Linked DNA regions of Styela clava. The protein of the gene in region 2 purifies or fractionates together with the protein of the main gene of each other region. This does not show direct contact. Links are inferred from orthologs where the notes say so. Each region holds a gene or a part of one and is shown on either strand. Other genes may lie near its edges.

Region 1 (6,915 bases), on a different chromosome or scaffold from region 2:
TTCCGTAGTATGGTTTACATTTATACGGATGAAAAATGGTGGCATAGTCAAAGCTTGAAAGAGTAACGCATGCTTTTTTTCGAATAAAGCAACAGGTGTCGCGGTTTTCTGAATTTCCTTCACCCTGAAATACCATTCCTACTTCTCAATTCATAAAGTGTATTTATGTATTGTGGAAAAATAAACTAATGATTGTACAACTCCCAAGGCGGTCCTCACCCACTTCGTGGTCTGAAAAGTGTATACACAACTGTTGCACCTGAGTACCTTCAGTTTAAAGGTATGTGTAGTAAGCTAACCTGATGGAGTGTCTGTGTCACTATATATAATATTGTTCAATCTGGAGCTAACAGGCTAATTTTTGCGCAGAGGTGCGGCCGATCACAGTTCACATTAAAGATTTAAACCAGGACCGACTTGGTGAATCTAGAATTCGATTTTTTCAGCCTTGGCTCCCTTCTTTATTGTAGTCGAAAACTTGGGCTGTGGATTCACTTCTTTAACTTCTAATACGAATTCCCACCAACTACTCCTTTGAAAAGGGATATTAGTTTACTAGCTGCACACAAAGTTAGGTTTTTTCCATTTCATTTAGAACTCCAAAGTATTTCTTCTTAATTTATTTTTCAGCACTGCTCTGTTGGAATAGGAGACTGCAGGTTCAGTTAATAAGCGCTATAATATAAGAGCAATCAATCATGCTTGTATGAGAATGATGGCCCTCACTTAATCTACAAAATTGAAAATAATATTAAATCTGCAAATTTACCAGAGCAATAAACTTTTATTTTTATAAGTGGCAAAGGAAGAAATAAGTTATCGGAAAATAGACTTCCTTAACAGCTAAGTCAAGGGTACATTGTGAAAAAGCTAAATTATCATTCAAGAATCGATATCTCAATTTCCACTAAATAATATATTGATTGCCGCTTCAACATTTCCTTGTGTTGCAGTTAATGCATGCCTACTGGCTTCATCATCAGTTATACCCATTGAATGAAGCTGTTCAAGTCCTGCTCGCATTACATCCTCACTTAACACAGAATCATTGCTTCTTGGAGCAGAACTTTCACTTTGTAGAGATTGAGAGACTTCTCGAAGACCAGTTGACATTAATGCTTCTTGCATCGCTTGGTTTAAAGCTTCTGGTGTGAGCTGCTGAGGTCTGGTTTCATTTCTTTCTTGAGGTGTAGTTGATGTATTACTGGTTGTGTTTGAGTTTGGTGTATTGAAAGCTGAATATGGAAAATTGTAGCCCTCACTTGGTGGTGTCGCTTGCGCAATAGCGGCAGATAATTGAGACAAAGTTATCATATTAGAAGCTTGGTTTGAAGATGAAGGATGACTTTCATTTGACTGACCCGCATCCACGTCCATAGAAACCGTACTGCTTGTGGAAGCTGCTGTATTGGAGTATTTACTGGAGGTCATCAATGTATTCCACATTGCCTCAAAAGCTATGGCCAAACAAGGGTGCTTTTCAACAATATTTTTCAAATATTTTGGATTAACTATAACTTTAAACAACTTTGCATTCTGCAGAATATCCATTGCTGCACGGTCCTCTCTGAGCCCTGATATGTTTGAAATAATTTTGTCAATAGTTTTTTTATCTTCAAAAAGTTTGGTAAGTGCTGATTTTTTATGCGATCGATTCTCATGTTGAATCATGGTAGCCAAACCATAAGAAGCATTTTGTACTTTAGCGTAATCTATCTTCGGAACATCCTGTTTTGTTGATGGTAATTTCTTTCTAATAGCATGGAGTCTATTACCTGACTGCAATCCCCACTCCTTCATCTCTTGGTCAGGATTACAGTCTAACCGTTTCAATCCAAAATACAACTCGTAATCATCCGAAGATAAACCAAATGTTGAATTGATTTTTTCTCTAAATTGTTTATAAATAGGTGATTGCACATCCAAAACTATCTGCTCAGATCTGTGGATATTTTCATTATCTATATAAGACACATGGAGCTTGAATGAGTTCTCCATGCTTTGTAATTCATCAGATAATCTAAATGGCAAAACAAAAATGACAGTTAACTGTAATAAAGTTGTTTTAATACAGAATTGATTTATTAGGAATAAGTTGAATTTCAAAAGAACAAGGTCGCCACTCGCCACACTTGTACAATACTGCTACGTAATAATATGGAATTAGTCAATTCTGATATATGGTAGAGGCATTCCATTTCCATATAAAAAAACTAATATATTTATTTGAACAACTTTCATTTTATCCAAGAAAGGTGTTTTTCATACATTGTGAAAATTTGTTTGATTGATTTGCATGGATGGTTGTATCCCAAATTAAACGGACATTGCATTCAATACATCAACCTTTTTCTGAGTGGGAAAATCGCCAGAAATGACCATGCCTTATGCTTACATAAATATAACTTACTATCATACAATTCTGTACAAGAAGATTTTTCACAGTAAAAATGCCCACATTTGTGAGGCCATAAACATTTGAACTGTTATACCCATATGTCCTACTTATTTGGGAAATATGTCAACATAAAAGCCTCGAACAGGGTGACCTAAAAAAACACAACCCAGGTCATTCAGGATATATTCTAGACTCTAAGAGTTAACATAATTTTTGTGCGGAGCGTCTTACATTGCTGAAACTTTCGGGTACAATAAATCACTTTATAAGAAAGTTATGGGTTCTGTTCTTTGGGGGTCACCCTGCACATACAAGAGTGGAGATAGTTCAATCGATCAAAAATTGAATTTCAAAATTACATTTAAACAGGCCTAATGATCATAAAAATTTTAATTTAGCAGCTTGTTACTGAAATTATAAAATTCTGAAAGATGTGACTATTCGATAACATAAAAGACAATCATATTCAAATACAAGTATCAAATATGTGTTTTTTATTTTGCGGAGGAACAATTTTGATTCTGCCATCACCAGGTATTCAAGCAGTATGATCAGTCAAATTAATTAAGGAAGGTTGCTTTATCACCAATCATTGTCTGCTGGCATAGGACGGGTCACACCGAACAAAAGTGAACTAGATCCTAGTTCACTACATATATTTTGTTCTACATATTCACTTTTTAACAATTTGTAAAACATCTTCGTGACATAATTGGTGAGTCAAGCCTACATGTTGACCATTGTATTTTGCGCTCCTTCCCCAGACTTGAGCATATTTAAAACCTGATACTAACGATCTATGCACAGCATGGCAAGCATGCTCCACAGTACAATTTGCACGTAAAATCAACCCATCACTAAAGTCTGGCTTTTTTGCAGGCTTTTTTGTATATACAGTCATAAGAGCCAAATACTCCCACATTTTTTCGAGTAGATAGTCTAAATTCAATTTCATGTTGCAACTGATGACAACACTATGTGGTTGTCGTGCGATCCTGTCAACCTCCTCAATTGAAATTTGATCAATTTTATTGTAAACATAAAGGCATGACATATATTTTCTATTCCCAACTACAACATCAATAAATTCGTCTGGTCCATAATCATCGCGAAAGAGAACTTCAGCATTAAAAATCTTGTATTCGTGAAGGATTAGTTGAACCATTTTCTCGTTTATTTTTGTCAACACGCATGTAGAGTTGAATGACAGTCCTCCACCTTTTTTAAGTTTGAAGTAAATATTTGGAACCTTTTTGTTGAGACGAATTCCCACGGCTTCTAACTCTAGGGTGAGGAGTTCTTTCTGTTTTTCACCCTTTGCAGCATCCAGCATCATAACAACAACATCTGCTGTTCTACCAACTGCAATGACTTGACGACCTCGACCTTTACCACCCGCTGCACCTTCGATAATTCCTGGTAAATCAAGAAGTTGAATATTCGCCCCATTATATTCAATTACTCCAGGGATGCAAGTCAAAGTTGTGAACTCATAAGATGCTTGCTCACTTTCCGTGTTGGTTAACGTAGACAATAGAGTTGATTTGCCGACAGAAGGAAATCCAATGAGAGCTACGCGGGCATCACCCGATTTCATGACATCAAAACCTTCCCCTTTTTGTCCAGATCCCTTTGGCCCTTCAAGAAGTTGAGCTCTATACTTTGCTAGTTTAGCTTTCAGCAGCCCAAGATGATATTCAGTGGCTTTGTTTTTTTGTGTCCTTTGAATTTCCTTCTCAACTTCCGATATCTTCTCTAAGATACCCATGGTTTATAAGAAACTTACGAGCGTTCTCTCCAATTTGAATTCCAGAAGCAAACTAGAGCTTGATAGTCTAATTATCTTTCAAATTCAGTAATTTACAGAATAATTTTTATAGGGTTTTTCCCAGTCCACATTCACTATTACATTAACTGCTGAATTGAAAAACAGTATTCAATAAAACTTGATAGCATTTACAAATTTAGCAAATAGATCGGTATGTATAGTTTTGTACCACATGCACTTCTAGTTGGCCTGGCTCAACAAAATCTGAGCCTCTAAAGCAGAGTGATGCGCTACATTGCCGTACCCTTTGTGAAGCTATCAGCAAAACACAAAATTGTGACTGACAGAATCGCAGAAAATACCCACGCGTAAAATTAAATGTTCCCAATGATTTTTAAAAGAAGGTGTATATTTTGATTAGTTTCACAATAGCAAATAAAGCAAAACAATCATTAACTACACTCCTCTTATTGTTAATATATAGTAAACAAGCTAAAGCGTCTGTTACAGTGCATAAAAATTTTTTATACTTTTTTGAGAGTTGTTTAAAAATGACTGAATTTTCGTCGTTTAAGACGGTCGTTTCATGAAAACCTCCAATAAAGGCAGCATTGCAACACCATTGGTAAAAAGTAGAAACCTCAAAGATTCGATTTCATTATGTCAGAACAGTCTCAGCACGTTTTGACTTGGCCATATATAATACTAAACATAGCGTATAATTTTCAATTTTATGCACAATGTATATACAACAAATTTAAAACTGATTTTGTGTTTCAACTAAATTTACTGGAGTTCATAAAAGAAGATATTTTCCTCTTTGTCACACAACAATAATGCACTTTAATAAACTTAGAATAAGTTGAGGAAAGTCTAAAATACCAAAAAAAAATTACGCCCTCTTGTGGATTCTTTAATAAATATCACAAAATTATCGTTTTTGAAAGGGCGATTTCTCAAAAACCGCCAATAAAGGCAGCACTACGACACATTCGGAGAAAAGCAGATATCCTATAGATTCGATTTTAATATGTCAGAACAGTAGCAGCACGTTTTAACTTGGCCATATATGATACCAAATATAGCATAAAATTTTCAATTTTATCAACTATGTAGATGTAACATATTTAAAAACGGTTTGGTATTTCAACCAAAGTTACTGGATAATTCATCAAATACTTTTCTCTCTTGGTCATACATCAAAACTGTACGTTCATTAAACTTGGAATAAGAGGCAAATCTTAAAATAACAAAAAATGATGGATATTTTCGGAATTTCGAAAAAATATCGTTTTTGAAAGGGCAATTTCTCAAAAACCGCTAATAAAGGCGGCACTACGACACATTCGGAGAAAAGCAGATACCTTATAGATTTGATTTCATTATGTCAGAACAGTAGCAGCACGTTTTGACTTGGCCATATATAATACCAAACATAGCGTGTATTCAAAATGTAATAAACAATGCAGACGTAACATATTTAAAAACCGTTTGGTATTTCAACTAATTTACTAGATAATTTATCAAACATCTTTTTCTTTTGGACATACATATATTCTGTACGTCCATTAAACTTGGAATGAGTTGCGGAAAGTATAAAATAATAAAAATCATTTTACGCGTGGATTCTTTTCATTATTCTAAAAAATATCGTTTTTATAAGGGCGATTTCTCAAAAACCGCCAATAAAGGCAGCACTACAACACATTCGGAGAAAAGCAGATACGTTATAGATTAGATTTCATTATGTCAGAACAATAGCAGCACGTTTAAACTTGGCCAAATATATTGCTAAACATAGCGTGAATTCAAAATTTCATAAACAATGCAGACGTAACATATTTAAAAAGTGCTTTGTATTTCAACTAAATTTGCTGGATTATTATCAAATATATTTTTCTCCTTGTCGCACATCAATATGTCTATTAAACTTAGAATAGGTTTCAGAAAGTATAAAATAATAAAAAACATTTTACGCACCCTCGTGAATTTGTTTTAAAATTTCGAAAATTATGGTTCATGGAGTGGCGATTTCTCGAAAACCGCCAATAAAGGCAACATCACACCCATTCGGAGAAAAGCACATACGTTATAGATTCGATTTTATCATGTCAGAACAGTAGCAGCACGTTTTGACTTGGTCCTATATAACACCAAACATAGCTTATATTCTTCAATTTTATAAACAACGTAAAAGTAACAATTTAAAAATGGTTTGAGTTTCAACCAAATTTGCTGGATAATTAATTAAATATCTTTTTTTTCTTTGTCGCACATTATTACTGTACGTCTAAACTTGGAATGGGTGGCGGAAAGAATAAAATACCAAAACTCGTTTAAGCCCTCTGGTGGATTTTTTTACTTTTAAAAAATTAATCGTGTTTGAAATAGCGATTTCTCGAAAAACCCCAATAAAGGCAGCACTACGACACATTCGGAGAAAAGCAGATACCTTGTGGATTACGCACTATAACTTTTTTTTAATTTTCCCAAACATACGCTTTTAGAGTGACGGTTTCTTGAAAACCGCCAATAAAGGCAGCATTACGACACTTTCGGATAATCGAAGATACATTAAAGATTCGATTCCACTAAACCACAACAGTAGAAGCACAATTTGATTTGGCCATATATAACATCAAACATAGAGTATATTCTTCAATTTTTGAATAATGCTAACGTTAAAAATTTATAAAGCTGTCATATTTTAAACGAAATTACTGAATACTTGTTCAAATATAATTTTTTC
Region 2 (8,951 bases):
TTGACAGCATAACTGTTAGCAAAAAATTCATTTGTATATATTACCTAGAACTTATAGCACCAGTTAAAACTTCCAGAGGGCGCTTTGGATTTGGAGACAAAATATCATCATCTTCTGCTTGAGAATGTGGTATGCTACTGCTATCACTTGCCAATGACTGCAAAAATAAAATTATTGTCAGTATCAGAAACATCAGATTTTATTTTATTCAAAATACATGCTTTGGAATATCAAATAATAAATCTTTTGTTTGCCATATTCAGTGAAATCTTGATTCAATTTATAGTGCATATCAAAATTTTATTGCAGAAATTAGCCATCTATAGCCAAAGTGATAGCCAGGTCATATCGCCATAAAAACAATTTGTCAATGGGAAATTGTCTCTGAATAAAACCATCCATCCATTCATCTTACTTTCCAAGCCAAATGCATGTCGTATTTGTTGCTCAAAATCGTGATAATGGCTTCAATATGGAATCACTTTCCTAAACCTAACATACAACTTCAAGATATCAACCTCATAAAACATAAAAAATTTAAATTCAAAGTTTTTCAATTTCAGTTGAATACTGATACTTATTCAACAATGACTTGAATAAAAACTCACACTTGTTGCTGAAGATCTCGCTACTTTATATCTTGGACTTGAAAATTCTGGTGAAGTATCTAGAGATTTAGAGTTTCCTGTCAAATAATGTTCAATAAAGCATGAATTTAGATATGATCAGTGACAAATCAATGAAGCGGCTCCAGCCAATAAGCATGTATTGGTATGGTATTGATTACTTTGCTTGAGACATAAAAAGACAGTCTTCGCAAGGATTAGATGAAAGGAAAACGGTGGGTTATATATAGATATAAACTCGATTAGACACTTCAAAAAACTTATGCATACAGAAAGATCATGCTCAATTCCAGTGATTTTTATCTCGGTAAACTGCTGAGCAGAAATAAAAAGTGTGTTGTTTGGAAAGAAAGCGGTAGAAACAAACCAGGAATTTTGAGAGAATGAAAGAAAAGAAACACTTTTCAAATATATTTTAAAATTATGATTCACAAATAACCATTTTTTATGCTTCCAATCTTGCTCAAACGCATGTACATGTTAGCACAACCATATTGCAATGTATATGCTCACAACTCTGATATATGCATGAATGTAAAGGTACTTCTGTACACTTTTTGGGAGTCAGATTTCGTTGTATAACAATATGCAAATTAGAAAATATTTATGAACCTTTTTTGCTTTCTTTATCTACTGGAGTTGACTGTGGGGAGCTAGTATCTCCGCCTAAGCGTGCAAGCCGGCGTCTTCGCATCTGCATCAAAAATGTCGGTAAAAAATGCAAACAAACTGAAAATCGCTTACTCAACAAGTAAAGAAATCCAATATTAAAATTATATGTAAATGATGCCCAGAAATATGATTTAATCATTATAGCAATAGGTCTATAATTCTTATCTTAATATTCCATGTCACATGAAGAAATACTCCCAGTTATCAACTTGTACAACTATACCATGGCCCAAGTCCTTTCGTTGTGAAATATATCCTATAGGACATTTTTATTTTATTACAAAAAAAATATAACCAAACTGTTTACCATGTACGGTAAAAGCATACCGTAATTTTATTCAATTCTTACCTCATCTTGAGTGATTGTGTTTTCACTCATTTCAGTGGTAGGTATTTGTGTAACAGCCGACCCAAGTGAATCATACAAAAATTAATTTTGTCTAGAATAATTATTCTTAATTTATCTAAAAACATAATAATGTTGAACACAAATTAGGTTAATTAATAAACCATCAAAAGCACAAGTAAATATAAGTTTAGTACAATAAGCATAAGTACATCTCAGACATGGAGTCGTTATAAGACAAAAGACAACCCAGATGTGTGATGTTGAACTATATTCAATACCGGTATTTTGAATCTTTGATCTGGAACACTAATAATAGGAGTGACAAAACTTATCATATTTTATCAGTATGACAAAAATCATCAGATTCTTTTCTACTGTAAGTGAGTCGTAATGGAGTCTAGTCCACGATGACCGACAAAAAACATTGGATGGATGCCTTATTCCAAAAGAAAAGTCATACATAACACTCTCAAAATCCAACAACCAGGTTTAGACATTTGCTTTTGGCCTTATGGGCAAAATTTGAACTTATTGACACATTTGTTACCTTTGTTCCATACCTCACTTTATCACACACCAAACCAATGACCATGGATTGCTATCAGTTTTGTACAACTGGACCCCCGACTGCGGCATGACTACATTAATTTAACATAATTTGACTGTAATGACTGAATGATGATGAATTTTTATTTCGTTGGCTTTTTTATTATTAAATATGACACATAACCTAAAGAAAAAGCATGTATTTTTATAAAAGAGTAAGAAGCCACAATTATTGAAAGTCTCAGGAAGGGGACCATCGATTATGAACGTTTGAGAACCACTGGTCTGAATTGTTTTCCTGATGATTGGCCTGATATATGCGGTACTGTTGTGCCACCGCTAACCTACCATGAGTCTGTAACATGGATTACTTTTTGCTTCCCATTGGAAAAAAAAACTTTTCCTGGATGAAAACAACAATAACTTCTTTCTTCAGTTAGTGAATAGAAACAACCTTTTATTTATTTTTTCTATTAAAATCTCGATAAACAATATTTTCATCAAGTGCTGCTGCATCTTTGAGAACTTTCATAAACTTTTGATTCAATTCTTGAGTACCTTTGTCATCAGGATTTGTATACTTCATATTTTTCTTTATCTTTATTTGACTGGAATCTTTCATAATGCTCCAGTACATAGTGTAATACACAATACCACCAACCGTTGTATAAAACAATAATTTGTAGCCTCTCATGAGTCTTGTACTTATGAAGAAATTTATGTCACAATACAGCAATAGTAATAAAGAGATACTGTAATGGAAAAAATGATATCATTTTTGGAGAAAATGAAAGATGAATACAGGAATATGTCTATCAAAGATGTCAAGAGATAACAAAAAAAATCTTACAGACTTAAGCTGTGTTCAAAGCAAAAATTGTCTACAGTCTGACAGTGGTGACAGCATAAAGTTTATTAATATGGTCAAGCATTTAGCTGGCCTCAATTCAGTAATTAGACTTTCATGCTACCACTGTACCAACTGTTTTCAAAATTGTTAGACAGGTGACTTTGAGCAGCGCATTTCGAACATGACAGAGAACAGGAGAAGCTGTTATAGACTTTTATAGTGTTCTTTTGACTGTTTTTGATGGAGGGGCATGTACTTCTGTACTTGTACGTTTTAAACTTTTTTTGTAAGTTATGCCCATCATCCTCTGCATTTTGTTTGTCAGTTTGTTGTTGTTTTGTTTCTTTCAGAGTGATCGAAATGAAATTGATTGATTGAAACTCCGTTTAGTTTAAATTACCAACAAACATGGATAACAGTATGAAGTGAGACATTTTCAAAATAGACTGATAGATGAATTATTGCTGAATTCAGGCATTGCATTACCTACCATACCATATTCATTATTTCCTTATATCACTGCAGCACTGTGCTATAACCAGATAACACCTACCTTCAGACCTTACAACCGTATTGTACTTACTGACCTAACTTACCGTAGCTTAAGACAATGACCTTCCGGGCCAACTTTCAGACAGTCACTGAACACTGCAACATCTGAACATGCAGACGTGTCCAGATGCCTGTATGTGTCTACCTAACCTCGTAGCTTTGGTCTCTTGGTGGAACCATTCCTTCTGTCTGTCTGTCAAGCTCAACTAAACATATCGACTGCGCTGTACACATTCTGTGGCAGAGTGACAATTGCAAAATTCTGTAAATGCATAGCAACAACAACATGGGCGAACGACTGGAAAGAAAGAAAATGCTGACAAACAGCTGAGTCATCATCAGGCGAATCCGCCAGAAGTGACACATACACACATTTCCCTCAGTCGTGGGGCCGCCAGATAAATGAATATAATGAATCTCTATCAACTCGTTGTTGCTCTAATTTACGGGTTAAGTATGATATTACCTCAAGGATAAGAATCATTATTTGAACGAAGAAATAACGATGGTTGAAACTTATCCCAATATAATCTCTTTTCACTTCTATCAAAGTCAGCCCAATGAGAATATATATTCCCAATATATACTGTATATATCAAGATTTCTGAATATATGTTGTCATTGGTCAGACGGAGTTATCCTGTGAGAGTGGAAAATGTGGATGCTGAACCAGATGATTTATCACCCAGTATTTCAAAGTCTCCTAGCCATTTCCATGCTCAAAGGGCAATATTCTGCCCAAACAATTTATCAGTGTATGGATTCCTTCTAGTGCATAGTTTCTTGGATAGGTCGCCGACCCTTCGCATCGCTTCACAGATACAATTTCTAATTATTTTTTTATCTTTGGACCTGATGTGAAAACTGTTCTACATGCAATGATAAATCTATCTGCACCAGCTTTAAAATAACCATATCAGCTTTCAATTTCAAGACCACTCTCCATACCTACCCGAATTCAAGCAAAAATAGACCACTGGTGCATTTCTCACATTTTGGAACAAACAGCTCAAAACAGAGCAATATCACATGATAACAACAGTCAGCTTGGTGTGTGGAAACTTAAATTGGACATATAAAAAAATTCACTTAGAAACAAAAATCCTGCAGAAGAATACAAAGACAAATTGAAAAAATTGTGTTAATATAAGAAAGACCAAATATGATCAAACTGAAGATCAGGAAATATCAGTATTGTATATCTAAAGAGGATAAAGGATAATCCATTATTATCCGAGGATAGTTAGAATTGCAACAACACCTATGATCTGGAACAATATAAAATGTTTTCATCTTATTGAAACTGAACATTAGAAGAATTTTAAACTGAGATGAAAGCACCACAGAACAGGTCAATTCAACAGGTGTTTACTTTTATTTCTCAGCGCCTCAACCTTCCAGCAAACACTGATACTTCATAAAGTCAGCAATTCTGTCACTTCAGCATCCGCCAATATCACACGAAATGATCACCATCATCCTTTGTCTTTATTGTGCTCCACAGCATAATTTTTATTCTGTCATCTATCAACTTTGTGCGGTTGCGGTGATGAAGCCAAATGTTTCTCTAATGTTTCCTGTGCAACAATAATATTCAGCTTTGAGAAAAAATTAATGGCACCAGATAGCAATGTTGTGGGCAAATAATATTAAAATTTGATATCACACAGTAAATTAATCACATTAGTTTGCTTTTCAAAATAAATTTAGTATGAGGCAACTTCCAAACTGATGTGAATACAGGCTCTATATACCGCCATTTAGATTGCATTACAATGGGCATACATTACCATATACATTATACATATAGACATGCAAGGTGAAATAACATTATATGCCAGTCATTAGCATCATGACCTTATTTCATAACAAAGTCATCATTAACACATTGCATTGTATATTTTGTTTTAATCTTGATTAATAAAAATAATATTATTTCTCATCTTATATTATAACCTTTACTACCTACTTCAAATTTTTTCAAGTGCTGAATTAAGTTATCTTTTTTAAAACGATGTGCTTCTTTGATCACAGAACACAACACTGGATGCCAACTTGACTTAGGACCTTTTAATTTTTGAAGCTCGTTGAAAATATTGATGTCATCTACAGATAAAAAAAAATGTTGGACAATTCAAAATATGCAAATGCTGATGAAATGGTAACTGCAATAAGAAGTGAATTTAATCCATCAAATGAGGAAGGTGGCTGTACTAATGTCATCATAACGGAATTACTAAAATCAAATCAATGATTTAGTGATGGGATTCACTCGAGGAAGTTACATTTCAACTATTTGCATAAAACTCATTTAATCTCTCAAGTGATAGCCTTGATAGAAAATCCCATAAGCATATCTTCAGTTACAGTAATGATGAAGTCCAGTGATAGCCTTGATAGAAAATACCATACCCATAAAAGATAAGCTTAGCATCAGTTACAGTAATCAGTCCAATTAACAGTGGAAGTTCTTATTTTATGTGTACTTACTTTTTCCTGGTTTTCTGACAAACTTAATTACTGTATCCTTGATGCTAGAGTTTGCGTTTTCAATTTCTGCAGTTGCTTTATTAGATTTGGGTTTTTTCTGTTTGTGTTTTCTATGCATAGTTTTCCATACACTGTCATTTGTTAAACCCATTGAATCACTTAGTGACATATTATCAGATCCTTTACCATTGAGTAAGTCTGAATGCTTCAATTTTGGCTCCAGTTCTATCATTTCCGACATATTATGCTTTAAATTAGATTTCAATGCTTGCAGCTTGGCTGCAATATCAGAAGGAGTCGTTTTAATTGCAGATGGTTCAGTCAGTTCTAAAGCACCATTGGGAGGACGAGTTTCTCCATTTAAAAAAGCATGAGGTAAAGAATTATGATTATCAGTAGTCTGATGGTTGGTAACCACAGCAGCAGGGTTGGTTTGATTGTTGACGAAACCAGGTGTGGATAAATGACTCTTCTTAAACACAGGTGGTGTACCGGGTCGCATTGGACTAGCTGATCGCTTTCTCCTGTTTCTTTTTCCGGCATCGCCTGATCTACCTGATTTATTACCAGATGATGGTGCATCATAATCTTCTGTTTCATCAATCATCATGCCCTACAGGATGGAAAATCCAATTAACTACCAATATTCAGATTATAAATGACAAAACTTTTATACCAGCCCAGACTTCCCAGGTCATTAAATTAATTTTATGCTGTACATTGAAGATAAACTAGTAATACCAAGGACCATTACTCAAACCTGTTAGAAATTCTTCTAGAAAACCGCCAAAACGTTACATTTACCTTTTCTTTTGCCAGTTTGAATGGATTTCCAAATGTGTGAAGTCGTTTAGGTGTGTCTGGATCAAGTTCCCTAAGTGGTTGGGGAAATTTCTTCAAATATTCTTGGTAGTTTCCCATTGTTGAAATTGGTTGATTGTGCAATTCAGCTAAAGCAAGATGTAAAAGTTTCAGCAAACCGTATAATACCAGATAGGGTATTTATTTAATTTTAGAGGAAATAGATCAAATGGCCTAAGCATATGTTGAACCATAGTCTCTCGTCTGGTTACCAGTTAGCAAGTGGGAAATGGGAATAGTTGACCAGGTATTTTTCATCTGCATGATGGGGGAGAAATTCGCAACCGATCAGTGGCTATGTTAACCACCCTACGGCACTAATGAGTCCAGCTGTCCTCTCTCACATTTCCCCCTCACAGGATTTAAAATCAACTCTTGATATCATATAAAAAAAATATGAAATGAATGATGGGTAGTTAACCAATCTCTGCATTCCATGATATCTACTAGTAAAACCCGATCTAAGGGGTTTTATTAAAAAGGTACCTTTGTCTTGAAGTCTTATTCTTGTTAACTGATTTGATGATAAAACTCTGTGGAAATTCACTTTCATTTTCCGAACTTGATTCAAAAGTTGAGATCTTGGAACATCAAAAGCATTATGATACATCCGCCTTCCTTTCATACCATCCCCCGAATTTACCCCGATGTGAAAATTGGGAAATTCATTCAAGTCAACCTGTAGTAAAAGAGCAGGGGGGCATGTAACAAGACTTCTATGTATATGTATCACATAACCAAATGCATGTTGTATTTAATGCTAGCTTATTCTATTGTAAAAAACTATATTTAATCGGCAACTACATCTTGCATTTTGAAGACATACAGTGGATAGTATGCAGATCCTACTGTACAATAATTGAGTAAAAAAAGCTATTGGATTAAATGAGTCTTTCCATTTTGACTCCATCGCGTGATAAGGATCACTTATCTGTCTCTGAGACTTGAATGGTATCAAAATATCAATGCAAACCATTACCTTTGGCATCAAGGATGCGTTTTCAGTTACAGAAGCGAGAATTTGATTAAAATTGGGAAGTTGTGTCACAGAAAGTGTGTTGTATCGACCAGAAATGCTGATTCCTTTGTTGACGTAAGGAGGTATGTGTCCCACTGAATTCATTATTCTATCAGCACTTGCCTGTAAACAAGACACAATGGTATAAAGTAATAAAATGAACATTTATTGTTAAATAATATCATTTTGATAGAATAGCTTGAAATAACTAATAAAATTTAGTTTTTACCTTGGCCTGTTGCTTCAATTTTTTGAAATATGAAAGTACAGAATGACTAAGACCAACTTCAAGAGAATCTGGAACAAGATTTGGAACTCCAAGTTGCCGCATTGCTTTTCTTACAGCCTAAAGATAAATATTCAAAACTGTGAATGACATACTTAAGCTGAAAGTATGAAAAATAAACTTATTTACAAGTGTATATCAAGTACTTGAATATACAACATCTTGGTACTACCCATTTATTATATCATATTAATTTTCACGAGAAATTTCAGAATCACTCTTTATGAGTTTTACACGTTTTTCTCTTGAAAAAAAAACATCTGCTATGATTGTTATTTTTACCACACACGGAGGAAATTGACATTACATACAACAACCTTAAACACCTACCACACAAGAATTTCTAATTCGAATATAATTTACTTACACCAATATAATAACTTGGTAACATTTTTAGGTAATCTTCAAGTTCCACTCTCAAGCTCGGAATCATTTTCATCTTGTTTTTTATCAACTTATCTAGAAAATAAAATTGATACAAATTTACCTACATTATTCAGAGAAGAAAAAACGAACCATTTATCATAAGAAATCCCTGGACTTATGATGACTATATTCCTTCTCAAATTTATTTGCTGTATTTAAAAAAAAAATTGCAGTCGATTTTACATACTCAAATAAAACATTGGAAGAATCTTTTCACTTCAGTAAACCGAACCGATTAGACCTTCGATGATTTGACCTCAACATTTTAGACATAT

Evidence for each region.
Region 1: the proteins of ubiquitin conjugation factor E4 B-like (region 2) and ubiquitin-like protein 7 purify together in Homo sapiens (affinity purification with mass spectrometry; 3 studies listed by BioGRID and IntAct, counting the BioPlex papers as one, with this or other methods). This does not show direct contact. The link is inferred for Styela clava from reciprocal best matches to the Homo sapiens genes UBE4B and UBL7.

Annotation. Positions count from the first base shown.
Region 1 is NC_135250.1:12,765,290-12,772,204, reverse strand, and holds ubiquitin-like protein 7, read right to left. Parts: upstream 2,002-6,915; 5' UTR 1,999-2,001; coding exon 898-1,998; 3' UTR 765-897; downstream 1-764. Other genes in the region: developmentally-regulated GTP-binding protein 2-like, read right to left, coding at 3,072-4,166.
Region 2 is NC_135256.1:17,029,492-17,038,442, forward strand, and holds the start of ubiquitin conjugation factor E4 B-like, read right to left. Parts: upstream 3,207-8,951; 5' UTR 1,678-3,206; coding exon 1,648-1,677; intron 1,321-1,647; coding exon 1,239-1,320; intron 686-1,238; coding exon 609-685; intron 158-608; coding exon 45-157; intron 1-44. Other genes in the region: integrator complex subunit 6-B-like, read right to left, coding at 5,116-5,172, 5,565-5,701, 6,086-6,698, 6,890-7,035, 7,433-7,625, 7,926-8,087, 8,194-8,310, 8,618-8,709. UniProt on the Homo sapiens protein: Ubiquitin-protein ligase that probably functions as an E3 ligase in conjunction with specific E1 and E2 ligases. May also function as an E4 ligase mediating the assembly of polyubiquitin chains on substrates ubiquitinated by another E3 ubiquitin ligase.